Linked DNA regions of Oryctolagus cuniculus. The main gene of each other region encodes a partner of the protein of the gene in region 2 in a complex. Links are inferred from orthologs where the notes say so. Each region holds a gene or a part of one and is shown on either strand. Other genes may lie near its edges. The genes, in order: WWC1, DDN and MAGI2.

The links.
Region 1: the proteins of DDN (region 2) and WWC1 are in contact, whole or in part, in a crystal structure (PDB 6J69), measured with the Mus musculus proteins. The link is inferred for Oryctolagus cuniculus from reciprocal best matches to the Homo sapiens genes DDN and WWC1. Residues at the interface, in NP_001013763.1 of Mus musculus: Tyr227, Val228, Ala229, Pro230, Pro231, Ser232, Tyr233, His237, Arg238, Thr239; in NP_740749.1 of Mus musculus: Glu13, Glu14, Ala15, Arg16, Asp17, Tyr23, Ile25, Asp26, His27, Arg30, Thr31, Thr32, Ser33, Trp34.
Region 3: the proteins of DDN (region 2) and MAGI2 are in contact, whole or in part, in a crystal structure (PDB 6KKG), measured with the Mus musculus proteins. The link is inferred for Oryctolagus cuniculus from reciprocal best matches to the Homo sapiens genes DDN and MAGI2. Residues at the interface, in NP_001013763.1 of Mus musculus: Asp222, Arg223, Pro224, Pro225, Pro226, Tyr227, Val228, Ala229, Pro230, Pro231, Ser232, Tyr233, His237, Arg238, Thr239, Leu240, Gly241; in NP_001164217.1 of Mus musculus: Glu308, Met309, Ala310, Tyr311, Thr312, Glu313, Gly315, Tyr318, Ile320, Asp321, His322, Lys325, Thr326, Thr327, Ser328, Trp329, Asp358, Tyr361, Tyr364, Val366, Asp367, His368, Arg371, Arg372, Thr373, Gln374, Phe375.

Annotation. Positions count from the first base shown.
Region 1 is NC_091437.1:55,260,307-55,270,033, forward strand, and holds part of WWC1 (protein KIBRA), read left to right. Parts: intron 1-1,427; coding exon 1,428-1,536; intron 1,537-1,973; coding exon 1,974-2,054; intron 2,055-2,725; coding exon 2,726-2,812; intron 2,813-3,891; coding exon 3,892-4,084; intron 4,085-9,727. UniProt on the Homo sapiens protein: Regulator of the Hippo signaling pathway, also known as the Salvador-Warts-Hippo (SWH) pathway.
Region 2 is NC_091442.1:52,459,680-52,469,886, reverse strand, and holds DDN (dendrin), read left to right. Parts: upstream 1-5,377; 5' UTR 5,378-5,408; coding exon 5,409-5,617; intron 5,618-5,987; coding exon 5,988-7,902; 3' UTR 7,903-9,312; downstream 9,313-10,207. Other genes in the region: PRKAG1 (5'-AMP-activated protein kinase subunit gamma-1), read left to right, coding at 48-174, 281-446, 602-639, 901-1,047, 1,166-1,270. UniProt on the Homo sapiens protein: Promotes apoptosis of kidney glomerular podocytes. Podocytes are highly specialized cells essential to the ultrafiltration of blood, resulting in the extraction of urine and the retention of protein.
Region 3 is NC_091434.1:142,750,735-142,760,461, reverse strand, and holds part of MAGI2 (membrane-associated guanylate kinase, WW and PDZ domain-containing protein 2), read left to right. Parts: intron 1-6,335; coding exon 6,336-6,974; intron 6,975-9,727. UniProt on the Homo sapiens protein: Seems to act as a scaffold molecule at synaptic junctions by assembling neurotransmitter receptors and cell adhesion proteins. Plays a role in nerve growth factor (NGF)-induced recruitment of RAPGEF2 to late endosomes and neurite outgrowth.

The DNA.
Region 1 (9,727 bases), on a different chromosome or scaffold from region 2:
AGAAGGAGAGGCAGAGAGAGAGAGAGAGAGAGGTCTTCTATCTGCTGTTCACTTCCCAATTGGCCACAATGGCCAAAGCCAGGAGCTTCCTTCGGGTCTCGCACTTGGGTGCAGGAGCCCAAGGACTTGGACCATCTTCCACTGCTTTCCCAGGCCATAGTAGAGAGCTGGATTGGAAGTGGAGCTGATACCCACATAGGATGCCGGCAGCTTTATCTGCTACGCCACACAGCGCTGGCCCCTCACGTCCTATATTCAAGAGCTGATTTGAATCCCAGCTACTGTTCTGATCCAGCTTCCTGCTAAAACAACCTAGGAAGCAGTGGTTGATGACTGCCACCCACGTGGAAGACCCAGATGGAATTCCTGGCTCCTGGCTTCAGCCTGGCCCAGCCCTGGCGTTGTGAGCATTTGGGGAGTGGACTAGCAAATGGCGGTGTGTGTGTGTGTGTGTGTGTGTGTGTGAAACTGCCTTTCAAGTAGATGAAAATAAACAGTTTTAAAAAGGGAAGTGGGCTGGGGTGGGCCCAGTGGGAGAGCAGGTGTATGAAATTCCCTTGTCTCTCCAGAGGACTTGGGGCTGCTCCATTTACTGGGGTTGCAGGGGGGTTTCAGAAGTGGTTCCGGCCGGCGCCACGGCTCAACAGGCTAACCCTCCGCCTAGCGGCGCTGGCATACCGGGTTCTAGTCCCGGTCGGGGCGCTGGATTCTGTCCCAGTTGCCCCTCTTCCAGGCCAGCTCTCTGCTATGGCCCGGGAGTGCAGTGGAGGATGGCCCAAGTGCTTGGGCCCTGCACGCGCATGGGAGACCAGGAGAAGCACCTGGCTCCTGCCTTCGGCTCAGCGTGGCCGGCCGCGGTGGCCATTGGAGGGTGAACCAACGGCAAAGGAAGACCTTTCTTTCTGTCTCTCTCTCTCACTGTCCACTCTGCCTGTAAAAAAAAAAAAAAAAAAGAAAAAAAAGTGGTTCCCAAAGCCATCACCGCATTGATGGAAATGATAGTTCTGTAAGGAGAATGGCAGTGAATCAATCCCCTGCACCTGTGTCTGTTGTAAGGGACTTGTGTAATGTCTCAGAAGTCCACCCCAATAGCCCTGTAAAGTAGATGTTAATATCTCCCTTGTATAAATAAGGAAGGTGAGGCTTATGGTATTAAATGACTGTCCTAAAGGAAGAAAAGTAGCAAGTGGTGGGGCCAGGATTTGAATCCAAGCAGATCCAGGCATCTGCGATGCTAAACACAAAATCCTGTGAGACCCCTTCCATGGCCCCCAAAGCAAAGCAGGCTGTGCCGTAGCTTTCAGAGGGGGCTGGAATTTTGTGGGACCATCTTACAACCAGGAGGATCAAACATGGGTGCTGTAAGACACTATTCTGGTTTCTGAACCCCCCTCCCCCTTCTGTTCTTCCTCCCCCGCCCCCTCCAGCTGTGAGTACAACCCAGGGTTGCGGCCTGAAAGTGGCCTGTGTCTCAGCTGCAGTGTCCGACGAGTCCGTGGCTGGCGACAGTGGTGTGTACGAAGCTTCTGCGCAGAGGTAGGTCCCTGAGTGCTGCCTCTCTTGAGTCAGTGGCAATCAGGAACTCCCCGAATGTGCAGATCCCAGGGCCTGTGGGACCATTTGGGCTTCAGCCCCTGTGGGTGTGCAGGAGGGTGTTGCAGCCCTGCTGAGGGCGAAGCCAAAGATGCAGGCAATGTGGCTTCTGGCAGGGGGGATGGGGGCTGGAGATGCTTTTCTCTGAGAGCATACTAGCTCCATAGTAGGCATTAAAAGGTGCATTCTTAGGAGGCCAGCCCTAGAGAAAGGAAATCTTCAAGTGAGGTGTCTAGAGCAAATGGTGTGAAGCCGGGGCCTGCAGACAGGCTGAGCAGACCCCGACTTTGTCAATGGAGGGAATCCCGCTTCCAGACAAGCACTGTGTTCCCAGGTCACTGCTCGGAATCCTGATGCCCCTTCTGCCTGTTGCCTTTCAGACTGGGCACTTCGGAAGCCGCTGCATTTGACAGTGACGAATCGGAGGCAGTGGGCGCCGCGCGGGTTCAGATTGCCCTGAAGTAAGTGACAGGGAAGTTGGGATAGAGGGAGCAGTTCAAGTGCAGCCCCTGGGTGTGCAGCATTGAGCCAGCCCTGACCTTCGCAGCAACCCCAGGGAGGAAGGCAGAGCCTGCAGGGTGCTGCCCATCATGGGCTCCTGATTAAAGGGGTCTCAGCTCTTTCCCCGCCTCCCTGCTCCCCATTTTACAGATGACAAAAATAGGGTCTTGAAAGACCCGAGGGCTCACCCCAACTCATTGAGCTGGCCGGTGTCAACCAGACCAGGCGCCAAGGCCTCCCGCCTCGCAGTGTGTTTGCTCCCTGTTGCTGTGGTTTTTGTCTCCCTGTCCCCATGGAGGTTGCAACACGCTGAACTCAAGGTGACTGTGGAGGGCTGCAGCTCAGACACGGTCAATACCCATGTTGTTCTCTAATTTTCTCTTGCTAGAGGATGTTTTCTCAGTAAGAATTAATTGCTGACATTTTGATGTCAAGAAATTTCACGGCGACGTCTGGCTTCTCTTTAAATACTGAGATGAGTGACAGCTCTGGACCTCCAACCCTGCATGGCAGCTAAGCTCTGAGCCTATTCTGCTTGGAGCAGCCAGCAGCCCCCTCTTCTGATTGTTAAGAGAAAGGGTTGGAGAAGTGTCTTCCTAATGGGTGCTGCTTATGCCCATTTTCATTTCAGGTATGATGAGAAGAATAAGCAGTTTGCAATATTCATCATCCAGCTGAGTAACCTCTCTGCTTTGATGCTGCAGCTAGACCAGAAAGTGTGAGTATGTGACCCGACAGGTCTATATGATCCTCTCAGCCTCCAAACTCCAGATTCAACCATGGGTATTTAATGCACATGACCTTGATGCAAAATTGCAGCTCTGTTTACGTGGATACAGGCATAAGGGCCCCACAGAGAGTTTCTGTACATACTGAGCACCTGCCAGTACTGGCTCTAGGCGTTGGAGCCCTGAGCAAATCCTTCATGGACCCTGCCCTCCTGGACTTGAGCCTCAGGAAGAAGAAGGAATGGTCACAGTCAGGTAGATCTCTGAGCTCAAGTGTTGCACCTAGAAAGGAGTGAGTCCTGGCTTCTCAAGGGTCAGCGCCAGTTCCTGTGCTCCCCGTGCCAGGGTATGGCTGGGATTACCGACAGGCTGATCAGCCAACAGACACCTGCACCATCTGCGTGTTGGCTCTCCCGTTGTAGACGAGGTTTGCATCTGATGGCACGCGTCTGCCTACTTGCTTCTCCTGTAACGGGACCATCCTAGGCCATAAGGGCAGCCACGGGAGCTCCTGCTTCTCTGGTCTGTACCCAGCCAGCGTCTGGGGGAGAGGAATGGCAGGGAAAGGAAAGCAGACAAAACAGAAGGAGGACGAGACTGGATGCTCGGGGGTCTTCAGTCCTCTGCAGGTGTCGGCAGTGCCGGGGTGAACATCCTTCTCCTGGTCTGTCTCACTGGTCCTTGTCCACGGTATCAGGGGGACAGTGCCTAGAAGAGAGGGCCAGCACAGCTATAGTTTTCTTGGGCTTATCGAATTCCCCTGCACAAGGAAGGTTTTGTTGCATTTGCCTCTTGGGGTAGGAGGGGCAGATTCCCCGGTGTCAGCAAGCACTGGCTGCTGCTGGCCTCGGGCTCCGGTTGTATGGAGCGGGGGATTCAGGGACAGGAAGGGCGTGCATGCCCCTCAGCGGCATATCCTGCATCGCTCACAAGTACCCGTGTAGCAACTTGAGAAATTTGCACATTCACAGCCACTGTGAATCTTGGAGATTCAGCGGCTATTTCACCCAACACAGTAGCCCCAGACCTGTGCTGACCCAAGCTCTCCTGCCACCCTGTCTCCCTGTAGGAACGTTCGCGTGGTTATCCTTCCTTGCTCCGAAAGCACCACCTGCCTGTTCCGGACGCCGCCCCTGGACGCCTCGGACACCCTGGTGTTCAACGAGGTATTCTGGGTGTCCATGTCCTACCCAGCCCTACACCAGAAGACCTTAAGAGTCGACGTCTGTACCACGGACAGGAGCCATCTAGAGGAGTGCCTGGTGAGAGCGTATCTCCGTCTGTCCCTCTGTCTTTCTAGCCTTCTAGCCTTCTGGGGATTGGTCCACCCCAGGCTGCAGAGAGAAGGCGAGAAGGAGGCCCAGGTCGAATCACCGGTCAAGTTCGTTGGCTTCTAGACAGAGATACTTTTCCTCATAAGAGGAAGAGTAGTGGGCCTGAGAGAAATGCAGGAGATGCCAGCCACAGACCACAGCTTACCTGTGCAGCATTAAGGATGAGACAAGAAACACTGAATAATGAGAACAAGCAGTTCTTCTTGCTATATAGCTGGGTGGCCTTGGGCAGTGGACTTAACATCTCTGGTGCTCTGTTTTTTCATCCATAAAATGCCCTAGTGATGCCCACTAGGGAAGTTGTTACTTGGATCCAGGGAGTCAGTACAGGAAAAGCACCTGCTGCCATGCCTGACACACAGAAGGCTCTCGTGCAGCGGGGCCCTTACTGGTCCACTCCCTGGAACAGAGCTCATGTGGCTTCCTCCCACCCACTGCACTAGCAGGAGTCAGGATCGGATATGAAGGAGCCTGGGGTCTGTGTGTGTCCTGTCCTTAGGGACCAGCAGCCACATGTACAGGTGGATGTTGGTCAGCCACCTCGTAGATGAAAGGGGGATTTATGTTAAACTCAGGGGCTTGTGACATACAAATCAAAGAAGTGAAGTCTTTGTTAGCCCTGGTGCCATTCTAGAGGATAGAGTATTTTGTTTATTTATTTATTGGTTTTGTTTTTTAAGTTTGAGAGGCTGACAGATGGAGAGAGCCAAAATAAAGCCAGCTCCCATCTAGTGGGTCACTCTCCAATGCCCAGAACAGCTAGGACCTGGATGGGCTGAAGCCAGGAGCCAGGAACTCAACCTCAGTCTCCCATGTGGGTCGCAGGAACCCAACTACTTGAGCTGTCACTGCTGTCCCCTGGGGCGCACATTAGCAGGAAGCTGGAGTCAGGAGGCAGAGCTGGGAATCAAACCTAAATACCTTTTAACTTGCCTTTTAACCACTAGACTGCATGCCTACCCTGAGACAATTTTGATGATAACTCGTGGACTCTGAGCTAAGTGCTTTAGTGTGCTGGCTCACTTCAACCTTACAAAACAGGTCATGTGTACCAGAGGGGAAACTGAGGCACACAGTGGCAAAAGACCTTCCCTGTAGTCACACAGTCAGAGAGTGGCAGGAGCCTTATTGGACTCCAGGCGGGTCCATCTCTGCTCAGGATTTCCTGGAGAGCGTCGGTGGGAGTGGAAGTGTGATGTCCAGGGTCAGGCCAGCGTGGTGGGCATTTCGGTTACAGCAGAAAGCTTTTCCACACCCAGGCGCCTCCAGTGGAGCATTTGCTCAGCCCTGGGCATTCCTAAATCCGAGGAGACTCGTGCTATTTTCTCCTCCTAATTGGATGCCTTTTATTCCTCCTTCCTAATTGAAGTCTGGCCATTGCTGGTTGCCATGGCAGCAGCCAAAGCGCTCATCTCCCTGTGGCTTGTCTCTGTCCGGGGCCAATCGGAGCTCTCCCTTTCCGTATGCCATGGGGACGTGGAGTGTCAGGCTGTCATGTTTTGGTGGTGAGAGGAAGTGAGACGGGAGGAGACAGGGATTGTCTTCTGCCACCCAGAGCCTCCCTGCCTTGTGCGTCTGCTGGGAGCCCTGTGGTCAGCCAGGCAGCAGCAGTCCCCTCACTGGGCGGCGTCTGGGTGTCTGCCCTTGGCCAGGAACTCTGTGTGCAGTATCTCAGTGCATCCTCATGGTAGCTCTGAGAGGAAGTAGTGGGGTGACCTCCCTCTGCCAAAGGCTGATTTACTTCTGCAGATCCTCCAGCAAGTCGATGGAGAAGCCAGGGTTTGTAGCTTCCTTGTGTGTAGCCACTGCACTTTCCTACCTCTTGGGGTTGCTCTGAGTGACTCTCATATCCCCTGACCCAGATCAAGGTTTTGGGGGAACATGAGGCCCGCCTTCCCTGCCTGTTGCAAGTACAGAGTATGCTCACTGTGGCTTCACAGGAGTCCTGGTTGCCCCCTGTGCACCTGCTAAGCTTTGCCACACAGCTCATGCTCTGCCCGGGCGGACCCACTGCCAGGTCTGGTTTACATTGTGATGGTTCCCCTGGCCCATCTCACATGGCCACGCTCACTGGGCCGTGTCCCAGCCCTTTCCTTCCTTTCCATCTGACGAGTGGGAACAAATGCTCACAACCCAGCTGTATGTATTGTGCTGTCTCCGTCCGTGCTGTCTACTTTCTGTAACTATAACTGAGCATCGCAGTCTGAGTCATTTGTAAAAACTAAAGGTTTATTCTGCTCACAGTTGTGCAGGCAGGGAAGTTCAAGATCAGGTAACTACACTGAGTGAGGGCTTCTCTGCTGGTAAAGACTCTGCGGAGTCCCAAGGTGACACAGTGCATCCCACAGCAGACAGAAGGTCCCGGCTGGGTCTCTCCTCCTCTTTGGATAAAGCCACAGTCCTGTTGCCTTAGGGTCCCATCCCTATGGCCTCATTTAATCTTACCACCTCCAGAGGGTCCCACCTCCAAGTACGATACTCTGCTTAAGTCTCTGTTCTCTTAGCATCTCCTAGGAGTGATGGAATTTCAGCCTGAGTTTGGTGGGAACACGCACACTGTGGCAGGCAGTGTTGGAAATTGTGATCTCTTCCTGCCCAGGGGGCCTCAGTGCTGCTCGGCAGTTAGCCTGTGTCTTCTGGAACCCTTCTCTCTCCCCCTGGTTACAAGGGCTAATGCGTGGTCTTCTCTGCCGGGGGAGAATGGAGAAGTGAGAGGAGAGCTCCCACTCACCCAGCCGTCCTGCTCCTCTCTGCTGTTTCTCTGGCTTCTAAGCTGCACTCTCCAGACAGCCCCTCTGCCACTCCGAAGGACATCGTTCCTGCAGTCGCCTTGCCCCCTCCTCTGCCTTCAGGGCAGAGCCCTTCTCCCCGGGTCCTAGCCTGTCCGCATCCCAGCATGCCATACCTTCTCTCATGCTGAAACAGAACAAAATGAAGATTTAACCCCATTTCCACTGCTAGCATAGCAGAACCTTGAAAGAGGTCTTTACCTTCTCCTATAACCCGACCCAGGTGGGCGTCTGCCCTTGTGACTGTACCCAGGTGGGCATCACAGGCAGCAGTGACCTGCTTGTCACCAAATCCAGTAGCCGCTTCTTCATCCTCACCCTTCCCGACCTGTCAGGTGCACCTGACTCAGGTGCTCGCTCCAGCTTCCTGATGTCCTTTGTCCTCAGTGACTTCCCTGACTCCATGGCCTCCTAGTGTTCTTCCCACATCCCTGGCTTCCGTCTCCTGAGCCGATTCTTCCCCCTTCCCATGGTCCCTCTGTATGCCCAGGGCTCAGTCTCGCTCCTCTCTCCCTCTCATTCTGATTCCTCGGTCATCTCCTCTCTCCTGGCTTCCAGCACTATCCCATGTGTGTGGCTAGAGTCTGAGCTTCTCTTATTTCTCTGCTCACGTTCCCATTGCCTGTCCTGCGTCTTTCTTTTCATGTCTAATACGAATCTCAAAGCAGGATGACCACACGAGCATCCGACCCTTCCTCCCGCGTGTCACTGTCTGCAGGCGGCAGTCATAGTCTTCCAGTACTCAGACCAGAGACCGTGGCATCACCCTGATGGCTTTCTCACCCCCTTCCCTGATCCTGTTAGCTCCACCTGCAGGACATCTGAGATCCCGGCCGCTGCTCCCCCGAGGAAGCGTCCCCGAGCCGAGCCACGCTGCTGTCATCACGGCGCTGCGATTATTGTGGCCGTTGTCTTCTCCAACTGTCCTTTTCTTCCTTCCTCCCTTCCTGTAGCCACAGTGATCCTATTCAGATGGAAATCCACGCAGGCCAATGGCTCTGTTGAAACTGGGATGTAGACTGGCATTGTGGTGCAGAGGGTAAAGCCAGTGCCTGCGATGCTGGCATCCCAAATGGGAGCTCCAGTTTGGGACCCGGCTGCTCTGCTTTTGACCCAGCTCTCCCTGATAATGTGCCTGGGAAGGCAGGGGAAGATGACCCAAGTACCTGGGTCCCTGCCACCCACGTGGGAGACCCAAGTGGAGTTCAGGCTCCTGGCTTTGGCCTGGCTCAGCCCTGGCCATTGCAGCCATCTAGGGAATGAACCAGCAGATGGAAACATCTTTGTTTTTTCCTCTCTCTCCCTCTCTCTGTCACTCTGCCTTTCAAATAAATGAATCTTTTTAAAAAATAAAAATGGAGGGAAGGACAAAGGGAATATCATTATATTCTTACGATTGTATCTACAGTTCACATTGAATCTGTTAAAAACTAAAAATCAAAATGATAATAAAATGGGAATGTGACTTACAAAAAAAACGAAGTAAAAAGTAAAGGCCTTAGGACGGCTTCTGTCTCTACCCGAAGTCAACACCCGGCTCTTCGACATGGCCCCTGGGGCCCTGTGGGACTTGGCTTCTCCTTACCTTTGGATTTCATCCCCAAGCCACCTCCGCCAGCTCCCATCTCCCTGCAGGCTCCCATCCAGGCTTTCCCATGTGCGGTGCCCTCGGCCTGGGATGCTCTTCTCCCGGATGTGCACAGGCGAGACTTCAGACTTGCTGCTCATCCCCACCTGCTCTTTGCTCTGCTGTCACCGTCTCGGTGAAGTCTTGCTGCGCCCTCTGTGAAACCCGTTCCCCGCCCCACTCTCATCTCTTCTGCTTTGTCCCTGTGTTTTTTCTCTGTCGCATATTTCATCCCAGCTCATAGATGTTATGGTACACAAGGGGTTTCACAGATTCCATGAAAAGTGCATTTTATCAAAAAACAGCATGCGTTTCATCCCCCCCCCCCCCCCCCCCAAGATGAGCTTGTCTTTTTGATTCTGTTTTCCACAGCGCTCTTGAAGCACCCTTGTGTTTCGGTATTTTCTCACCTCGGAAATCACACATATTGTAGATGGCAGGTTATGGTTTAATGAGCAACAGCTTTTCTTTCTTTCAAACAAATATGCTTAATAATCGCTGGCCTCTTAATTTCACGAGAAGCAGTTTAGTTTACTTATTCACTTATTTATCTTAGTCTCCCCCGCTCACAAGTCAGGTCACGAGGCATCTGCTTCAGATCCTGCGGTATCCCCAGCAGGCAGTCAGGCCTGGCACCTGGCGGCTGCTTGGGAAATGTGTGTTCATTGAATAAATGAGTGAGTGGGCATGCAAGTGCACCCGGTGTGTGACGGTAGAGGACATGCTCATCCCCCCAAGGCAGCCCCACGTGGAACATGCAGCCTCCTGGAGTTAGTAATCGTGAGATGGTGTCGTGCCTCCGAGGTGTGACCCTTGTCCCTCCCTCTCGCAGCTCAGACACAGCCCGTCACGTCCCGAGTCATGTGGTCCGTCTCCCCAGGCCTCCGAGAGCCAGTTAGGGGAGGAGTCTTGCTAGACCGGAGTCTACGGGACTCGGGGAATTGTTTTGAATGAACACATGAGTGATATCTCTGTTGGTTTGCTCCATGCTGCCCTCCCAGCAGGTACCTTTCACCTCCTCAGACTTAGCACTGCCTGTGCCATGCCCCCAGTACATCCTAGTACAAGGGAAAAGTGCAGGGCTCCCAGAGGGACCCAGGAGCCCCTTTCTTGTCGTAGGGGCCGTCCTGAGTCACTGCTTGGCGACAGGCCTGA
Region 2 (10,207 bases):
AGCGCTCTGGCTCGCATCATGATTCCCCCCCCCCAACCTTCCCGCAGTTTGTTTGATGCTGTCTCTTCGTTAATTCGGAACAAGATCCACAGGCTGCCAGTGATCGACCCGGAATCAGGCAACACTTTGTATATCCTCACCCACAAGCGCATCCTCAAGTTCCTCAAGTTGTTTGTAAGCGTTTCTGAGCCCAGCTCCCACTTCTTACCTACTGGGTCAAAAGGGTTATCAGGGGTGGCTGGTTGGATCTTAAAAGTCAAGCTGATGGTTCTTTCCTCAGATCACTGAGTTCCCCAAGCCAGAATTCATGACCAAGTCTTTGCAAGAGTTACAGATCGGCACCTATGCCAACATCGCCATGGTCCGCACCACCACGCCTGTCTATGTAGCCTTGGGCATCTTCGTCCAGCACCGAGTCTCAGCCCTGCCCGTGGTGGATGAGAAAGGTGAGTCATCGGGCAGGAGCGGGAGGACTTCAAGGAGGCCAGGGTGGCTCTGGGAAGATCTGCTTTCCCCTCGGCTCAGTCGGAGGGTGCTTTTGTGGGTGCCGGGGAGCCTTGGGTGCCACAGCCTCCCTGCTGAGCTGCCTCTGTCCCCCCAGGGCGTGTGGTGGACATCTACTCCAAGTTTGATGTTATCGTGAGTGACTGAGGGTGGCGGGCTGGGAGGCAGGGAAGGGGATGGGGGTGTTGAAAGTGGAGAGGGAGAAGGGGGTCTCTTTTAAGGATCTCAGAAGCTTCCAAGCACTCCAGTCCTATTTGAAAAGAAACTGAACAAGTCGGGTGTGGCTGGTGGGCATGGCCATTGATTGCCCTAAACCTTGCCAGTAAGGTTGGGTGGGCTCAGGGTCTGGCACCTGGTTCCCTAGCTTTTCCGCAAGCTCATCCTCTCTCACTGCAGAATCTGGCCGCAGAAAAGACCTACAATAACCTGGACGTGTCTGTGACCAAAGCCCTGCAGCACCGGTCACACTACTTCGAGGGCGTCCTCAAGTGCTACCTGCACGAGACCCTGGAGACCATCATTAACAGGCTGGTGGAGGCAGAGGTAGGATCGGGTGAGCCCCAGGCTGGGCTGAGAAACCGCCCACGAGCCTTCTGGCCAGGAGGGTGGGGCCAAGGGCCCCCGCTGAACCTGCTGTTTCTCCCGTGTTGCTCTGTGCCAGGTTCACCGGCTTGTCGTGGTGGATGAGAGCAATGTGGTCAAAGGCATTGTGTCGCTGTCAGACATCCTGCAGGCCCTGGTGCTCACGGGAGGAGAGAAGCCCTGAGCTGCAAGACGGGGCCAGGCAGTGCCCTGGGGGAGGTGGGGGGCCCCGGGAGTCAGACGGAGCCTTGGGAGATGACTGTGCGCTACTCAGGAGCCCCCTGCCCTTCTCCCCAGGAGCTGGGGAAGGCACAGAAGGAAGAAGGAAGAAGAAGGGGGTCTTTAGCTGCCTTACCCTCACACATACACGAGAACAACTTCCGGCCCGGCTCTGTGCCCCTCCAGTAGATTCCGATCTCCACGAGATCCCCAGACCTCACCGGCCTGTGCCTCCATTCCTGCCCTGACTGCCATAAGGTGGCACAACAGAGCTCTTCATGAAGATACTGTTGTTCATACAGGAGGCAGCGTCCACTTAGTCATGTAAGCGAGGAGGGCCTCGGGGTCCCCGGGCGCGTTCAAGGACATGGGTAGGCTGGAGAGGAGGGCAGGTTGGTTGGCCAAGGTTATTGCTTTTCGTGGCAAATCTAATTAAATGACATGAATCTCTTCCTGGTGTGGTGGTGTTTGATTTTGGTAGTTGGTAAACACTGCTGCTCTGACTTTCCCACTTAGTATGATTATTTCACTCATTGTTAATGACAACACTAACAGCATACACACTAACACACACACACACACACACACACACACACACCTGTGCCAGGTATCACCCACAGTGCTTTATCTGTACACATTGCATATCCCTTATCTGAAATGCTTGGAACCAGAAGTGTTTTGGAGTGTGTGTGTGTGTGTGTGTGTGTGTAGTAATTTGAAGTTTTTGCATAGAAATGAGATATCTTGGAGATGGGACCCAAGTCTAAACACAAAATTCATTTATTTGGGGATTTTGTAACTGATTCACAAACCTGAAGGTAATTTTTTACAGTATTTTTGATAGTTTTGTGCACGGAATGAAGTTTGTGCACTGCGGCTGAAGCCCCTGGGAGGGTCTTTTTTCCTCTTGGGATGCTGGGCAGAAGTGTGTGCCTGCATTTCCACTGTGGCCTGTCATATGAGGTCATCCTGTCAAGCACTCTGTAAATTTTGGGTTTTGGAACATTTTGGACTAGGCATACTCAACTTGCAGGAACTCATTTAATCCTCAGAGCAATAGTAGATACTGTTACTACTCCTGTTTGACAGATTTCTAAAAACTGAGACACGCAGAAGCTGAATACCTAAGCAAGGCTACACAGTTAGAAAAAAGCAAATCTAGGATTTAAACAGGGCCAGCGTTGTGGCATCCCATATGGACACTAGTTCGTGTCCTGGCTGCTCCACTTCCGATCCAGCTCCCTGCAAATGCACCCGAGAAAGCAGAAGGTGGCCTGAGTGCTTGGGCCCCTGCCACCCAACGTGGGAGACCCAGATGAAGCTCCTGGCTCCTGGCTTCAGACTAGCCCAGCTCTGGCTGTTGCAGCCATTTGGAGAGTAAACCAGCGGATGGAAAATCTCTGTATCTATCTGTGTCACTCCCTGTCTCTCTCTCTCTTTTTTCAAATTAATTAAAAAAAAAAAAAAATAAACCCAGTCTGGCTGCAGAGTTCATTGCCTCTCAATTGTCATTTTGCCTTGTTCCCCACCCTGTCCCCTATCATTCCCTTATTATCTTTTCCCTCCACTTGGACCATAGCTGGAACCCAAGGAAAGTCCTCTAACAGTGTTAAGTCTCCAGAGAGTTAAGCATACTGGGGTGGGGGTGGGGGGGTCTCCTTTGGGCAGAGAGGTCTGCCTCCATCATGAGCTTCTCTGAGAGAAGTTGGACAGTGTTGGGATTTCGCTACACTGGTGCTATATTGGAACCCACAAATCTCTTGCCTTGTATCCCAGGCAAGAATGAACTAGGGATGGGGAGAGGGGTGGGAGAATGAGGAGCAGCAGGACCATAGTCACCCGTGAAACCCATTCCCTGTGCTGAACCCACGTGGCCCACGACAGTGGTCAGCGCCAGACTGAAAGACGGCTGGACCACAGGCCGTGAGCCAAACACCCTGATTGCCTTTTTGCTGCTGCATTGTGGATCTGGTACAATTTCCCATCCACACCAGGAACAGTCCCAGGGCAACTCCTTGCCCCCACACCCACTGTGCCTGAGTCTGCTGATGTGACCCAGGGAAAAGCATCAAGGCCCTATCGGCTATGGAGAAGCCCTGTTTGTGTGTTGAAGTCTCCATGGCTGTCACTGCACATTCCCAAGCTTGGGGGAGGGAGGCTTCCAGGTTATTAGAGAATGTTTATGTGTGGGGGAGGGTTACAATGGAAAGGACAGATGTCTCGTGTCACATTCCCTTGGGGAAGAGAATTGGTCTAGGGAGGAGGCAAGGGCTTTAAAAGAGCCTGCAAGTGGGGCCTGGAGTGGAAGGAAGCACTTTCAAGCAAAGCAAAGGCCTCAAAGCAGGTGGCAGGTGCGTGGAATCAAGGGGGGTGGGTGGTGGTGAAGTAGTGGGACAGGATGTTTGGGGTCTCTCCAAAGGTCCATGCTGGGGAGCAGGGTGCCTGGGTTTTGTTGTGTTTCTCAGGGAGTCCACCCTGCCCCACAGCCACCCTTCCAGACTCTTAAAAGGAAGGGTCTGTACCCAAAGGACTCTGTGTGCTTCAGTGGAGAGCACACTGGGCTCTCTCGCTTCCCCTGAAAACCCAACCAGTCAGCCTCACTCAAAGTCTGAGGACAGAGCTGCGTCATGGACGAGGGATGAAATCTGGGTGCATCCCAGGCTTCTGTTCTCAACCTGTTCCTCTCGGGAGAGGCGAACTGTCCCGTCCTCCCGAGGAACCATTGCCACACACATTCTTTCCCCTCCCTGCACCCCTCCTGGAGTTGCTGCCATGGTTGCCAGGCATGGTTGCTAAGTCTGCATGGAAGGGTTGGCGTGGGCTGTGCTGCCACTAACATCACCATGGTGAATCAGGGGACACCTGGTATAGACTTAAGTGGGGGGAGGGACCACGTGGATGCTAGCAATAGCCCCCTAGGACAGAATAAGCCCCCAAGGTGAGCCTTTAGAGTGCTGCTTCTAGTGGGGCTCAGTGAACTGGGCATTGAGGTGGGGGAGGGGGGCTCTGCCTTGGGAAACCAACTGCTTTTAGTTCAGTTGCTAGGGGGTTAGCTTTGCCAAGGGAGCACAAAATTTCTCCTCCATCCCCTCTGAGAGGGTGAAAGTACATGAGCCTATTCTGCATCCCTCTCCCTTAAGGCTGGGCAGAGCTGTGTGAGCACAGAACAGTATAATCCCCAAGTCTTGGCCCCCTGGCTTGGATGGGGGGAGGGCTCCATGGGTGCCCAAGGACAAGTATCTGGAACGGGGGTGGTGGAGCAGCTCGGTTGGCCAAGACAGACTCCCTGCATCCTATTCCTCAGTAGCTCTGGGCTGGCAACACTAAAAAGGTGAGGCATTGAGGGTTGTAGAGGTCACTTTTTTTTTTTTTTTTTGAGACGGGTGGGGGTTGGAGGGAGGCAGCTCTCCCCCAGAGCCACACAAAAGCTTCCTGAAAGCCACCGCCTCCTCTCCACCGCATGGGAGCTGGTTAACTCATCTCATCTCTGCACCCGAATGCCACTGCCGCTAAAAATAGCCCCCCAGCCCTGGGCCAGCCCCTCCTGCACCCCAACCCCATGGAAACCAGCAGAAAGACAGAGGGTGGCAGGCAAGAGACCTTGAGTTCCATTCTCACCATTCCCTGTCAGAGGAATCAAAGTCGGAGGCAGAAAGTCAGGGGGGCAGAAGAACCCTGGTGGTCAGGCACCCCGGATCAGCAGGAGAGAAAAGGGTTAACAAGTCAGGAAGGTTGAGGAAATGGGGGCGGGCGGGCGGAGGAGTGAGGGGACCGACGTTGTCAGTTTGGCAGGAATCTGAAGTCCCTCCCCGCCTACCCACCCGGAGCGGTCCCATCAGGTTTGGGGGCCACGCAGTGGAAAGGGGCATCCAATCCTGGGCCCCAGGCGGCAGTCGTGCACGTGGGGGAGGTAGCAGCGCCGAGTCGTCCGCGCCGTGTCACATGCGCGCGCGCACACACAGACAGGCACACACGTGTGCCCGAGTATATATAGTTCCCAGTCTCTAGGCCCGCCGCTCTGCAGTGGGCGCCGGCTCCCCGGGCTCGGAGGGGGCTCCCGGGGCGGGTGGGAGGGTGGGGGGCCGGGGTGGGGTGGGGGCAGGATGCTGGAGGGTCCGCTCTTCTGCGAGGGGCGCGATAGTCCCCGGGAGCTCCGGCGTGCAGACTCTGGCAGCTGCCTCTGGCTGCAGAGGTCCAAGCTGTTTGTGATGGAAGTGAAGACCATTTCCTGTCATTATAGTCGCCAAGTCCCCTCTCGACAGCCCATGGACCTCCAGGCCAGCCACTGGGCCCGCGGGCCCCGCAGTCGCACGTGAGTGAAGGCGGGGTGAAGGGACGCGAGTTGGTGGGGCGGGGAGCGGGATCCGGACCACCCGAAGGCACCAGCGAGCGCTGTGCGCCTCCCTCCCTAAACTCCACTCCGAGGGCTGGGGCACCGACTCCTCTCGCCTCGTTTGCTGCGGGGGCCAGAGGCGTGAGAAAGGGCAAGGAGGTGAGATGGGGCAGCCGCTGTTAAAATGTGCATGGCGAGATGGCGAGGAGTCCCTTCTGGACGTCAGCCCCGACCTCCACGCACGTACACACGCACGCACACTCGCACAGACCCTTCCCAAGGGGTCTCCCCGAACCTCGGCTCGCTTCCCGCACAAACTGCTCACCTGGCTTCCCGCTCATTGTCCCAGGTGTAGGCCGCGCCCCGGATCCCCCGAGCCGTCGCCCCGCCGGCCCTGGGCTTCCAGGGTGCTGCAGGAAGCCACCAACTGGCGGGCGGGGCCCCCGGCCGAGGTCCGAGCGCGGGAGCAAGAGAAAAGGAAAGCGGCGTCGCAAGAGCGGGAGGCCAAGGAGACCGAGCGAAAGAGGCGCAAGGCTGGCGGGGCCCGACGGAGCCCCCCGGGCCAACCCCGCCCCGAGCCCCGGAACGCCCCTCGGGCCGTCCAGCCTGCGGGCCTCTCGGGTCCCTCAAGGCGGGAGCGCCTGGGGCCGGCGGGCAGAGCGGCCCGCCCGTCTGCTCCACCGCACAGCGAAACAGGGGCGGCGTGGGCGGGGCCCTGGGGGGGTCGGCGGCCAGGACCCCCTAGCTACGAGGCTCACCTGCTACTGAGAGGCGCCGCCGCGACGGCCCCACGACGCCGCTGGGACCGGCCGCCGCCCTACGTGGCTCCACCTTCCTATGAGGGTCCCCATAGGACCTTAGGGACGAAGCGAAGCCCGGAGCGCTCTCAGGCGTCGGCCGCGTCTGCCCCAGCTCCGACCCCGGCCAGGACAGAGGGAGGGAGCGCCAGGAAGAGGCTGGATCCTCGGATTTACCGGGACGTCCTCGGGGCCTGGGGTCTCCGGCAGGGCCGGGGTCTGCTCGGGGGATCTCCAGGCTGCGGAGCTGTCCGAGCAAGGCCGGCGTCTGGCAAAGGCGCCGCAGAGAGAGGGCCCGTCCTGCCTGCCGCCGGCCTGCACGGCGGGAGCGACCGCCGCTTCCAAGCCACCGCCGTGGCTGGGAGCCCGGGCAGCGGGACAGCTCCTGCGAGGCCTGCAGCTGCGCCCTCCAGCCCCCCGCGTCCCGCTCCCAGGTCCAGGCACCAGCTCGAGGGCTCGAGGGAAGGGAAAGAAGGAAGAAGAGAACAGGTGTGGCTCCCCCGGTGTTGGATGCTCTCCCCTAAAAAGCAGCCGTCCCGGCAGAGCCAGACCCTCCCCCGACCCTGGGCTCCCGGAGGCACCGGCTGGAGGGAGTCCCCGGGTCACGGGGACGGGCCAGGCCCCGCGGCCCGCCGAGCCCACACTCTGCCCCGCTGTTCCCGGCGCCCCGCTGGTGGAGAAGGCGTGTTTGTCATCGACGCCACGTGCGTGGTGATAAGGTCCCAGTACGTTCCGACCCCTCGAGCGCAGCAGGTGCAGCTTCTGCCCTCTGAGATGGTGCGTGTTGTGGGGGATGCTCCCAGCCCTCCCAAGCCCGGTCCGCAGCAAGGCGAGGGTGCTTCGGGCTCGCCCTTCCGTGTCCCGAGGCCTCAGCTGGTGAGCCTTTCACACCGGCCGGGCGAGGGGAGTGAGGGTGAGGGTGAGGCCGAGGGCGGGAAGCCGGGCGACTCCTCCTCCCTGGAGGAGCGCGCCTCCCGAATCTTAGGGCTCCCGGTCGGCGAAGTGAACCTGCGGGGCGCCCCCGCGCAGTCAGGCCGCCCCGAGCATCCCGCCTTGGGCCCCGCGGCTCCGGCAGGGGCGGGCTGCGCGCGGGGCTCGGGCGGGGCGGCGGGGCCGCGGCGAGCGGGCGGGGGCTGGGCGCGGGCCCCGGGGCCCTACGCGGGGGCCCTGCGGGAAGCCGTGTCCCGCATCCGCCGCCACACCGCCCCGGACTCGGACTCGGATGAAGCTGAGGAGCTCAGCGCCCACAGCGGCTCCTCTGATGGAAGCGACACGGAAGCCCCGCGCGCCTCCTGGCGGAACGAGATGACCCAGCCTGCGGCTGGGAACCCTGGACCCCAGGAAGGTGGGAAGAGAACCGAGATGAGCGACAGCTTCCGGGAGCTTCTGGGTGCCGTCAGCCAAACCGAGGAGGCCCTCTTCGGGGCGAGGGACCCCGCCGAGACCCCACAGGCAGATAGGGAGTAGCAGAGAAGGTCCCTTTGTGGACTTGAGTCTGCCGACCCATCCTCCCCTTCTTTCCCCGCGGCCGCCTTTTGCCTTTTTTTTTTTTTTTTTCCCTGTGTGCCTCCAACAATGCCGGTTGCCATCCCTGAAATAGACATGCAAGGGAAGGAGCATATGCCCGTTCCCAAGTTTGCTTCTGGAGAAGTGGGGGTGAGGTTCCATGCCTGCTGTGTGCGGGGCGGCGCACACGCACTGGGGGCGCAGTTGAGCAGAGCAGACCTCTGGGCAGCAGGAAGAAAGGGATGGAAAGGGTGGCAGAGGGGCCTGGGGCACAGAAGGGCTCTTGCAGGAAGTGAATGGATTCAACCAGCAAAGCAGAAAAGGGCTTGCGTTGGTGTCGCACGTCTTGGGTTTGTCTGTTCAATCCAACTCTGCCAACTTCCCAGGCCTCCCAGGGTAGGGGGGATGCACAATGAGAAATTTCCAAGGTCTGTCCTCCCATCGCTGACCTTTGGGGACCAAACGAAAGCCTCTATCTCCTCTTCCCATCAACAAGCCAGGAAAGAGGAAAGGATAAGTCACAGTCTGAGGGGTCCCCAGTGGCTGCTTTGTCCCGATACAAGAGATTCTACAGGGTTTGCAGGAGAGCTGAGTAAGTGGCAAAAGGGCTCCTACTCCACTCTCCCAGGTTGAGATGGGGGCTCCCCGAGGCAAGGTAGGACACTGGCCCTGTCACTCCCTGTCACTGCTCCCAGAGGCAGGGACAGCAGCCAGTGAACCAGCTTTGGGCCACCTGTTCCCTCCACCCCAATTTTCCTTGGTAGATCCGAAGTGTTACCACAATGTCCTAGGGCATCCACTCGCCCCCCACCCCCCACGGAAGGAACCCCGAGAATTTACTTGCCTCTCTGCCCTTTGCTGAAAGCAGGGGCAAAGTAGAGCAGCTCAGTTTCCAGGCAACCTGCAGATGTGGGGTGTGCTACTCGCTGCAGCCACGAGGAGGCGCGCGCGGGCCGCGAATTTTCCCGGTTGCGGATCCCGGACACCCCCAGCCCAGCACTGCCAGTTAATCGGGTCCCTAGTTACTGTCCCCTGCCTGGCCACCTCCAGACTGCGGGGCCGGGAGCAGGCCTCCGGCTCCTGTTTGTACTCATCACTCCAACCGGCTGGAGACTCAGACGCTGAGGATTTTTTTTCTCTCCAGTCCTGGAAACCCCGACACCCACCCCCACCTCTGCCATTTACTGGCCTTGTGACCTTGGCCAGGGCATTTCGTCCCCCGGAGCCTCCTTCTCCTCATCTGTCAATGGGGATTTAATAATCACCTACCTCGCAGGGTTGTTGTGAGGATTTAATACGATAATGTATGTAAAGCGCCTTGCTCGGTGCCCGGCACACAGTAGGCGCTCAATAAAGCTAAGCTTCCCTTTCCTTGGCCTCGGCTTGGTCTGTTCCCTGCTGCTTTCCCACCGCCGCTAGGAGAGGGGGGAACTCGTTCTTTGGTGGAAACTCCAGGATCGCCACGGTGTCCCCCAGCCGCGACCCTCCCCGCTCCGCCCCCTGACGGCTCTTCCCGCCGCCCCCCAATTCCTGGCAAGGGCTGAGTCAGCCGGGGTAAATTTAGCCACCGGCTCGGCAGACTCGGCGGGCCGGGTCCGACTCCGGCTCGCTGTGCAGGTCCCCGGCCCCAGCTCGCCAACCACTTCTGGTTGTAGTCTCCAATTAGCTCCACACGGCTGCCCACCCGCCCCAAAGCAGACCTTGCTGCGCCCTAGGGGGGAGAGTGGCGGGGCTCAGAGCTGCCCAGGACAGCTCGTCCTTGACCCGCTTCGAACCCACCGCTGCAGATTTCCAGGGGGCTCCCGCGGAGGGAGCAGAGGAAGTGGGAGCCGCGTATGTAGGATCAGAGGCCACCCCCAAACCCTCCGCCTCACGGCCAGTTCTGACCACCAAGCTTTACTGAGCAGCTACTAGAAACACACAGGCAATGGACCCGAGCCGCCAGGGCTAAGTGTGCGTGCAGGGTCAGACGGGGGAGTGCATGGATTCCAGGAGGAGATGGGGAAGCCCCTGGGTCTCCCAGGAGGTAGCCGCTGAGGTGGAATTTAGTGAAAGGTCATTTCAAGGACAGGAAATGGTCAAAAGCAGAGGCATCGGTACAGGGAAATGTGTCAGAAAATTAAACAGACATATTTGGTCTGTTTGGTCTATCAAGACTCCCTGGGTTGGGGGTGGTGCTGTGGCACAGCGGGTAAAGCCACTGCCTGCAGTGCCGGCATCCCATATGGGCACCGGTTTGAGTCCCGACTGCTCCACTTCTGATCCA
Region 3 (9,727 bases), on a different chromosome or scaffold from region 2:
GCTATGAGATCTTTTCTTGTTTTTCTTTGCCTAGATCTTACTTCCCTTTATTCAGTGAGAAGCTGTCTTAAATACCTAAGGCATTCTCAATTTAGTAATGATAATCAATGCATATTGTGGGGAAAACTTGGAATAGGTAGAACTCGCACAAAGAAATAAAGACTGTATGAATGTACAGATCACAAACATAAGAGAGGAGCAATCTGAGTAGAAACAATGGAAAATATCTTTGAAAATATCTTTGAAGAGGTGAGGAAAGAAATGAATTAGCTGGGATGAAGTTGCACAGGGCATAGCAAAAAGTTCATGGAACATGAAATTAACACAGGTGTGCTTTGGTGCAAAACAATTTAGATCCATACATAGTTTTTTCAAAATAAGCATTTTCCATGAACTGTTTGAAGACCCCTCATATGTAAAAGGGAACTGCTTTCAAAGGTAGAGGAATAGCAGGATTCAACTAGAAGGCAGATAGCAAGTGTGTACCATGAGTGGTAAAGATAACAACCGGTTCACAAGAGGGTAACTTATAGGGTGGTAAAGACAAAATGAGTTGAAAAGGCTGTTGGTAAAGAGTGTTAAACAGTAGGTCTGCAGATTGAGTAGCTTCACTTAAAAGACTATAACATCAGAATTGAATAGGGAGTAAATTATTCTAGTCTGGTCCAGGGTGGTGGTTAAGGAGGGCAGACGGCAAGTGGTGAGTGGGAGATGCTGAAAACGACGACTCTGCAGACCATGATGACTCAGAGTGTGGAAGCAGAGAAAAGAGCTGTAAAAATAACTCCGTTTTAAACAATGCTGTTATAGAGTGCCCGTTTCATCTAAGATGAGTTATCCATGAGCATATCCAATGCTGTATTTTGATTACCATTTCTAAGAAAGAAATAACGTATCTGAGAACATTTTCTCATATAGGAGAACAATTTTAAACCACCTGCTTCATCAGCCTTAGTCTCCCTCACTTGCAATTTTAAATCCCAAAATTTGGGGACACCAAGTTCATTCACACCCAATCTGACCAACAGTCCCAAGATCAGTAGCCCTAAATATGGGCTAAAGTCAAAGGACATGCACATAGGAAACAATATAAACTTTTGGGCAGTATAATAATGAAAATGTATGTCTATTCTTCAAAAGGAATGTATCATCGTACTTCTAAAGAGACTTTTTTCTTGGTAGAATAAAAGGTGTTTTCATAAACATGATCTCATTCTCACAGTTTCCCTGCAATAGAGGAAATGGGAAAGAGATTTTTAACTCCTATTTTATAAATGAAGAAGTTGAGAGATGAAAAGATAAAGTGACTTTTTTCCTGCCAATTCTTCCTCTTAAATAGGCCAATGAGTTGAAATTAGAGCACATTTTTCTAATGCCATCTTTTTCAGGGCTCTTAAACCGAGTCTATCCCAGGACTTGGCATGGCGCTATCAGATGACATATACCAGGTGGCTCATATTTTTCCTTCACAACATGTAAATGACATTCATACAGCACAGGCTATAAATATTCTACCCAATCAGTTCTGACTGAACAAGCAAATGTTTGCTTATGTCTCTGTCTACAAAAGTTTTGGGCAAGACAGATTGTCTAAGAATCTATATGTTTTCTGAAGTGGGCAGTGGATACTGTCAGGTTGTTAAATAGTTGTATCGCATGATAGCTGATGGCTCATCTTTTACATTCAGAAACCCGCATAACTCCATGAAGATATTATTGCAGGGTTCTTTATCACTCGCTTGCCTGATAACTTGAAAAATTGCTCTGGGTGGAAAATATCCATAAATTTTAAAAGGCAGTCTCCCTAAGAGCCACACATAGTTCGCATTCCATTTCTAAATAGCAAGATCACATTAAAACTCAAAAATAGATAACATTAGTCACAGTAATTCAAATAACTACTCCTTAGGCCTAGCAGGGAACCTTGAGAGCTTTGAGCATTACTCTTGGCTCTTTCTTTTTCTTTTTCTTTTTCTTTCTTTTTTTTTTTTTTTCTCGATTAGATTCTGGCAGGGCAGAAGGAAGAATAAAGTATGCTTGGAGATGGGGGTGGGGAGTGGAGTTGATAACAGTGATTAAAGTTAGGGAGAACCTCAGGAAATTTGTGACCGTCCTGCCTTCTACTTGCCCACTTAAAAACCCTTCATTCTATAGTCATACTCAAGCCATTTTTGATTATAGCTGCGGTGGGAATGGGTATCTTGATGGGACTGTGTCAATTTTATGGAAGGATGGAAGCAAGGACAAATAATAACTGCTGGAATAACAATCATCCTGCACATCACAATTTGCAGCTTACAAACGCTGCTAACCATATGATCTCAGTTGTTATTTCCCAAAGGACAAAGGTTACTAATATTATTGTCCTTCAGCCGGCGCTGCGGCTCACATAGCTAATCCTCCGCCTGCGGCGCCAGCACCACGGGTTCTAGTCCCGGTTGGGGTGCCAGATTCTGTCCCGGTTGCTTCTCTTCCAGTCCAGCTCTCTGCTGTGGGCTGGGAAGGCAGTGGAGGATGGCCAAAGTGCTTGGGCCCTGCACCTGCATGGGAGACCAGGAGGAAGCACCTGACTCAGGCTTCAGATCGGCGCAGCGCCGGCCATAGCAACCATTTGGGGGGTGAATCAATGGAAAGGAAGACCTTTCTCTCTGTCTCTCTCTCTCCCACTGTCTAACTCTGCCTGTCAAAAAAAATATATTATTGTCCCTCATTACTTCTTTTTTCAAAAGATTTATTTATTTATTTATTTGAAAGTCAATGTTAGAGAGAGGAGATGCAGAGAGAGAGAGAGAGAGGTCTTCCATCCATTGGTTCACTCCCCAATTGGCCTCAATGGCCAGAGCTGCACCAATCCAAAGCCAGGAACCAGGAGCTTCTTCCGGGTCTCCCATGTGGGTACAGGGGCCCAAGGACTTGGGCCATCTTCTACTCCTTTCCCAGGCCACAGCAGAGAGCTGGATCAGAAGTGGAGCAGCCAGGCCTTGAACTGGTGCCCATCTGGGATGCTGGCACTGCAGGCGGAGGCTTCACCCCCTATGCCACAGCGCTGCCCCCTTCCCCATGACTTCTAATAAATGTGAATCCCAGAGGATTTAAGGTGGTTCTGAATAATCACACAGCTAGTCTGTGATAGAGCTTTAACTCAGACCACAGTTTTTTTACTTCCTATGATCTCTACCTTACCGTGCAGCCTTTCAAACCTTCAGGGAACATTGGATCAAGAATGAACGTGGGCATGAAACTTAGTCAGTATGCGAGGGAAAAAAAAGACTCTTTGGATAGGAAAAGTGGAGAAATGAGATGTAGCCTAGCGGAAACCCAAATGGCCAATAAGCATATGGAAAGATGCTCACTCTCCTTAGCATTCTGAGAAAAGCAAATTAAAGTCATAATCACACCCAATAGATGTGCAAAATTTAGGTCTGAGAATACCAAGCATTGTGTCAAATTGGGAACAGCGAAAGTTCTGGAACACCACCAGTGAAAATGGAAATGCCATGACAGTTTGTAGGTCATGTGTCATTATCTAAAAAAGAGGTACATGGCCTGTGCCCAGCAATTCTGTGCCAAGATACATACTTCAGAAAAATTCTCCCCTTTGTGCACAAGAGCCATGGAAGGAGTTGTCTTTAATAACCAAAAATTTGTAAGAGTCCTCATATTCATTAACAGAAGAATGAATAAATGTTATTATATATGAATGTAACCATCCAATAAATCACATACTTCATGAAAATCAATGAACTTATGGTACAAACATCAAAATAGAGCATTACCACAAATATATTTTGAGGGAAATTACAGAATACTAAAATGGAGGACATTTATAAAATGTTTAAAAATGCAAAACATTTTTCAAGGATTATTAATATTCTGATATTAAATACTATTTAGAGATGCAATTTCATGGGAACCTAAAAGATAAAGTACTGGTAAATAGAAACGTCAAATGCAGGACAATGGTGACCTTGTAAATGACAAAGTGGGAATACAAGTAGGGGGAGTTGTGTTAACCAAGGCAGTTTCAAAAACTAGGAGCAGTGGTGTAAGCATTAGTTCAGATGGTGGTATATAGGGATTGACTAATCTTACAACCTTTGAAGTGTCTGAAATATGTCGTGATAAAGTAGAAGAATTAGAACAAAAAGAGTCTACATGAATACGACACTTCTCTGGGACTCTAGGAATAACAGAATTGATTAAAAATGAGTCCAGGCCGGTGCTGCGGCTCACTAGGCTAATCCTCCGCCTTGCGGCGCCGGCACACCGGGTTCTAGTCCCGGTTGGGGCGCCGGATTCTGTCCCGGTTGCCCCTCTTCCAGGCCAGCTCTCTGCTGTGGCCAGGGAGTGCAGTGAAGGATGGCTCAAGTCCTTGGGCCCTGCACCCCATGGGAGACCAGGATAAGTACCTGGCTCCTGCCATCGGATCAACACGGTGCGCTGGCTGCAGCACGCCGGCCGCGGCGGCCATTGGAGAGTGAACCAACGGCAAAGGAAGACCTTTCTCTCTGCCTCTCTCTCTCACTGTGCACTCTACCTGTCAAAAAAAAAAAAAAAAAAAAGAGTCCAAAGCATCCCCAGCTGCCCCAGGTTGATGGAGAATCCTAATCTCAGAGAGGGTTTGCCCATTCCAACTCAGTTTTGAGTCCTGGCCCAATGGCCCAGCCATCGCACCAGCACCCTGTCTGATAAACATAATGGAGGGGTGAAGTTTCATCTGACCAGTCACATGGGCTGTCACATTTTCTGGAGGCAGACATAACCTGGATCCCAGGAAAGGCTTGATTGTCTTTTCTGGCCATTCCTTTACCACTTTCAAACAGGTCTCTTGCATTTGGAAAGAGGGATTGTTAAGCCAGTGCCATTAAGGACACCTTACTTAGGACCGTTTTATGCATATATTTATTTTTTTTACAGGCAGAGTTAGACAGTGAGAGAGAGAGAGACAGAGAGAAAGGTCTTCCTTCCGTTGATTTACCCCCCAAGTGGTTGCTATGGCCGGTGTGCTGCGGTCGCTGCACTGTGCCGATCCGAAGCCAGGAGCCAGGTGCTTCCTCCTGGTCTCCCATGCGGGTACAGGGCCCAAGCACTTGAGCCATCCTCCACTGCCCTCCCGGGCCACAGCAGAGAGCTGTTTTTAAGTGCCTTAAGTGGAGAAATTATTTCATAGCCTATACCTACAACTACAACAACAACAAAAAGCCAGCAATATGTTTAACTCTCAGAGTTCATCTCTGCTTTTTCATTTTTGGTGTTTGCAATCTTGATGGGCAAGTCCAAGAATGAAATTCCCAGCCATTTGCACTATCCATTGCAGAATTATCCTGGTCAGTTGGTGTCTCTTGAGCCACTCCTTTGACAACCTGTGAAAGCATGTCTTTACATTCCTCGTAGGTGCCTCAGCAAGGACAAGCACAATCACAATTTGCAAATTCAATTTTCAAGCACTGTGGTTTGTGAGGATAAAAATACCAATCCATGATAGAACAGTTCTCCAAAAATAAAAGTTATTCAGACATAATTGAAATTTTTAAAAACAATTATCTCAGACAACCACATCTTTTTGCATTTTAAGGAGGAAAATTTGTTATTCTGAATATCTTGTATGATGAATAATTTGCACTCAAAGCATTTCTAATAGCATAAAGCCACCTTCTAGCCAGCAGAACCTTGCAAACAATCCGTTGGGAGAGGACGAATGCCCTCACTGAAAATAATCAGAGAAACAGAAGCTTCCCTACGCTCAGAGGATGACCTGATGGCAGCTTCCTATTTGAAATCCAGGGTCTCAAATCTCCTCCATCCTGTTTTCCCAACAATGTTAATAATAGCCTCCATTCATTGAGCAGTCACCATGGGTCAGGCACTTTGCCGAAGCACTTTTCCTGCATTATTTCATGTCCTCCTCATTAACAACTTCATAAATAATGAAGTGTCATACCAGAAACCCCATGTACCAGGTCTTGCGTTTTCATCCAAAACCCATAACTACGTCTCAACAATTTTAAATTTCTACTGACTTGCATTGGAGATGGAAGTAAAGATGAAGAAGCAGCATGGGTAGTGTGCTTCTCAATATGAAGTCGTTTCTGAACTTCAAGAATAACCAGATAATCGCTTTTTTTTTTCAGTGTTTGATCATTATATTTGTTGGCAGACCTGGTGTCTCCTTGAATCACCTACAGTGAATCTAAGTATTATTCTAATTGATTTTCTCACTGCTTACTGAGAAATAGAGCACCTCTTTCACTAGTCTCATAAATAATTCCATTTCTCTATGTCAACGTTAATTGAACTTACCTCATGTTGTCAATCTCTTTCTCTTTCCCTTGCAGGTGATGTCATTGTCTATATTAACGAAGTTTGTGTCCTTGGGCACACTCATGCGGATGTTGTCAAACTTTTCCAGTCTGTTCCTATTGGTCAGAGTGTCAACCTGGTGTTGTGTCGTGGCTACCCTTTGCCCTTTGACCCTGAGGATCCTGCTAACAGCTTGGTGCCACCCCTTGCAATAATGGAGAGGCCACCTCCAGTGATGGTCAATGGAAGACATAACTATGAAACATATTTGGAATACATTTCTCGGACCTCACAGTCAGTTCCAGATATAACAGATCGGCCGCCTCAATCTTTGCACTCCATGCCAGCTGACGGTCAGCTAGATGGCACGTATCCACCACCCGTCCATGATGACAATGTGTCTATGGCTTCGTCTGGGGCCACCCAAGCTGAACTTATGACCTTAACCATTGTGAAAGGTGCCCAGGGCTTTGGCTTCACTATTGCTGACAGTCCTACAGGACAGCGGGTGAAACAAATACTGGACATTCAGGGATGCCCTGGACTGTGTGAAGGCGACCTCATTGTCGAGATCAACCAGCAGAATGTACAGAACCTGAGCCATACAGAAGTAGTGGATATACTGAAGGACTGCCCCGTTGGAAGCGAGACTTCCTTGATCATCCATCGAGGAGGTAAGAAACATTGGCCCAGCAATTAAATATATAGACAAAATAGTAGGATCCTTTACCATAATTCTGTTAAAATGGAGGTCTTTTGGGAGTGGAATTAAATCAGACTTTTGAAAATAAAGGTAAAGTAATAAGAAAGAAAAACGTGAGTACAGGAAGCTGTTCTGAATTTTGAGAATATGTCTCTTCCTGTTTTACATTACATATAATAATGACAGTGCTTTCAGTCATAGAAACATGATGGTATGACTTGGAGAGTAACAGCTGAATTCCCCAACTAAGAATGTGTTCTGTTTCAAAAGTGTGCTTTGGGGTGGGCATTTAGCCTAGAAGTTAAGATACCTGTGTCCCATATCCAAATACCTGAGTTCAATTCCTGGTTCTGGTTATTGACCAGCTACCGGCCAGTGCAGATCCTGGGAGGCAGCAGGTGATGGCTCAAGTAGCTGGATTCCTGTCACCCATGTGGAAGACCTGGAATGTGTTTCCAACTCCTGGCTTCAGCCGGCCCAATTCCTCTTTGAGTAATGAATCAATAGATGGGAATTCTTCCTCTCTCTCTGTCATAAAAAAATTAATTAATTAATGTATCAGTTCTGAAGAACTCAAACTGATTCACTCCTATTTTTTAAAACAAAGATTTATTTTATTTTTTTGAAAGACAGAGTTACAGAGAGAGGTAAAGCCAGAGAGAGAGAAGTCTTCCATTCCATTGGTTTGCTCCCCAAATGACCAATAGCAATGGCCAGAGCTGAGCTGATTCGAAGCCAGGAGCTTCTTCTGGGTCTCCCATGCCGGTGCAGGGGCCCAAGAACTTGGGCCATCTTCTACTGATTTCCCAGGCCATAGTAGAGAGCTGGATCTGAAGCAGAGCAGCCAGACTGCAACCGGCACCCATATGGGGTACTGGCACTGCAGGCTGGGGCTTTAACCTGCTGCTCCACAGTGCTAGCCCTTGGTTCACTATTGATTTCACTAAGAAACCTGCTGTGTTTTGAGTTGTACTTAGAATTCCAGGCTAGCAGGTGGAAACTGGTTCAACCTCTGCAACCTTAGTACAGTCCTTATAATGCCCATGGCGCACTGGGAGCTGTGCAGCTGTATAAATGCCATCTCGGAGTTCTGAGTAGAATTCTCCAGAATGAATTTTCTGCTGCTTCAGCAGTAGTTACCTAAGGTGTCTCCCATGACCTGGGAAGAAAGTCACTTAATGGGGTCAGAGCCGGGCCTAGTGTTCTGGATTGAAGTATGGCAATGGAGACCATGAGACAGGGGGAGAAGCCCTGAGCCTTGGGTCTTTCTTTCTCTGTGCCATCTCTATGGGAAGAGAATGGTGCACAGCAGAGAGTCCTCTTCCCCACTGCTCTGCGCTTGAATCTCAGTGAAACTAGGGAGAGGGAGGAGGGAAGGAACCATGACGAAAAGGATGCTCCAAAACAGAGTGTAAAGGAAAAGGTGCGAGCTAAGTCCTGGTTTTCCCACTCGGTCATTTGGAGACAGGACAGGTCCTGGAGCCTCAGCCTTCTTATCTGTGGCTCTGGGATATTAACACTACCTAACTGTGGTGGTGTTTGTGGTATTGAGTGGCCCAGATCAGGGTTTCACTGAATTTCTGTGGAGCTGAAGTGAACACAGAAGCCACGGCCAGGACAGGTCAAAAGGAGCAGTGCTGGGAGGAACTCGTGCATGAGGAACACGAGGCAAACCCATGTGATTGCCTATTCAGAGCCCTCAAAGCAGCATGAGAGTCCTCTCGGTGTGAAATGGAAGTGAAAACAGTCAAAGCTGAAAGAAGCGCCATTCCTGGTATATTTGTTTCTTTTTAGGTGTGTTTCCCTCTTAAGGAACTATTACATTATTGATTCCTTGCTTGAAAAGGGACCCAAAAAAGCAGGCATTTGTAAGCAGCATATACAAAGTATTATGTTCCTATATTAAAAAGGGAAATTAATATGATGGCAAAGCAATCTTAAATTTGACCTTCTCGAGTCATTGTTACAAAAGAGCACTTGAACTGCAATAATTAAATGTTGGCAGATTTCCTTAATTTCTGCCATCATTTGTTTAAGATTAAAAACAAATATTCCTAATTAAATAGTCATATGTTCATAATACCAATTGAAAATCAAATCTTGGGGACAGATTCTTGCTTTTAAAAGGTACAACTGAAAATCACTGCAGTAATATCCACTGTATGATTTGTAGAAACAAATTTGGACACATTTTTATATATAATGGCTTCTTTTTAAAAGCATAGCCTAGCAGGGTAATGTACTGTGAGATCCTTCATTTGTATTATTACAATTTGTGCATTTCTGAAAATGTTGAATGCACACCTGCTCTCAGCTAGACTACCCTGTTCTCATTCACTTGCTCTCTGGTCCTCTCTCTCTTTTGCTCTCATTTAAACATCAAGTAAGCAAAGTTTTGTTTGCATTTTATTTGTGTTTTGGAATGAGGGACTTGCTTTTACTTTTTGACTAGTGTAGAATGCAGAATGTAGCACCCTGTGATGCTTAAGGAACTTCTTGTCAAAAGCTTCTTGAGTTTCCCAAATTCCTACAATTTGCACTCTTCTGTCTGAAATTAATAGGAACTAGTGCTATGTTTTTGTGATGAGATTCACTTTGATTATCTTACTTTAGACAACTCAGAAGTGCTTATGACTTCATTCAGATAAGCCTAGATCTTCAAGAGCAGAATCACAGACTTGAGTGCTTAGATCAGGACCACGGTTGTTTTAAATTATTTATGAG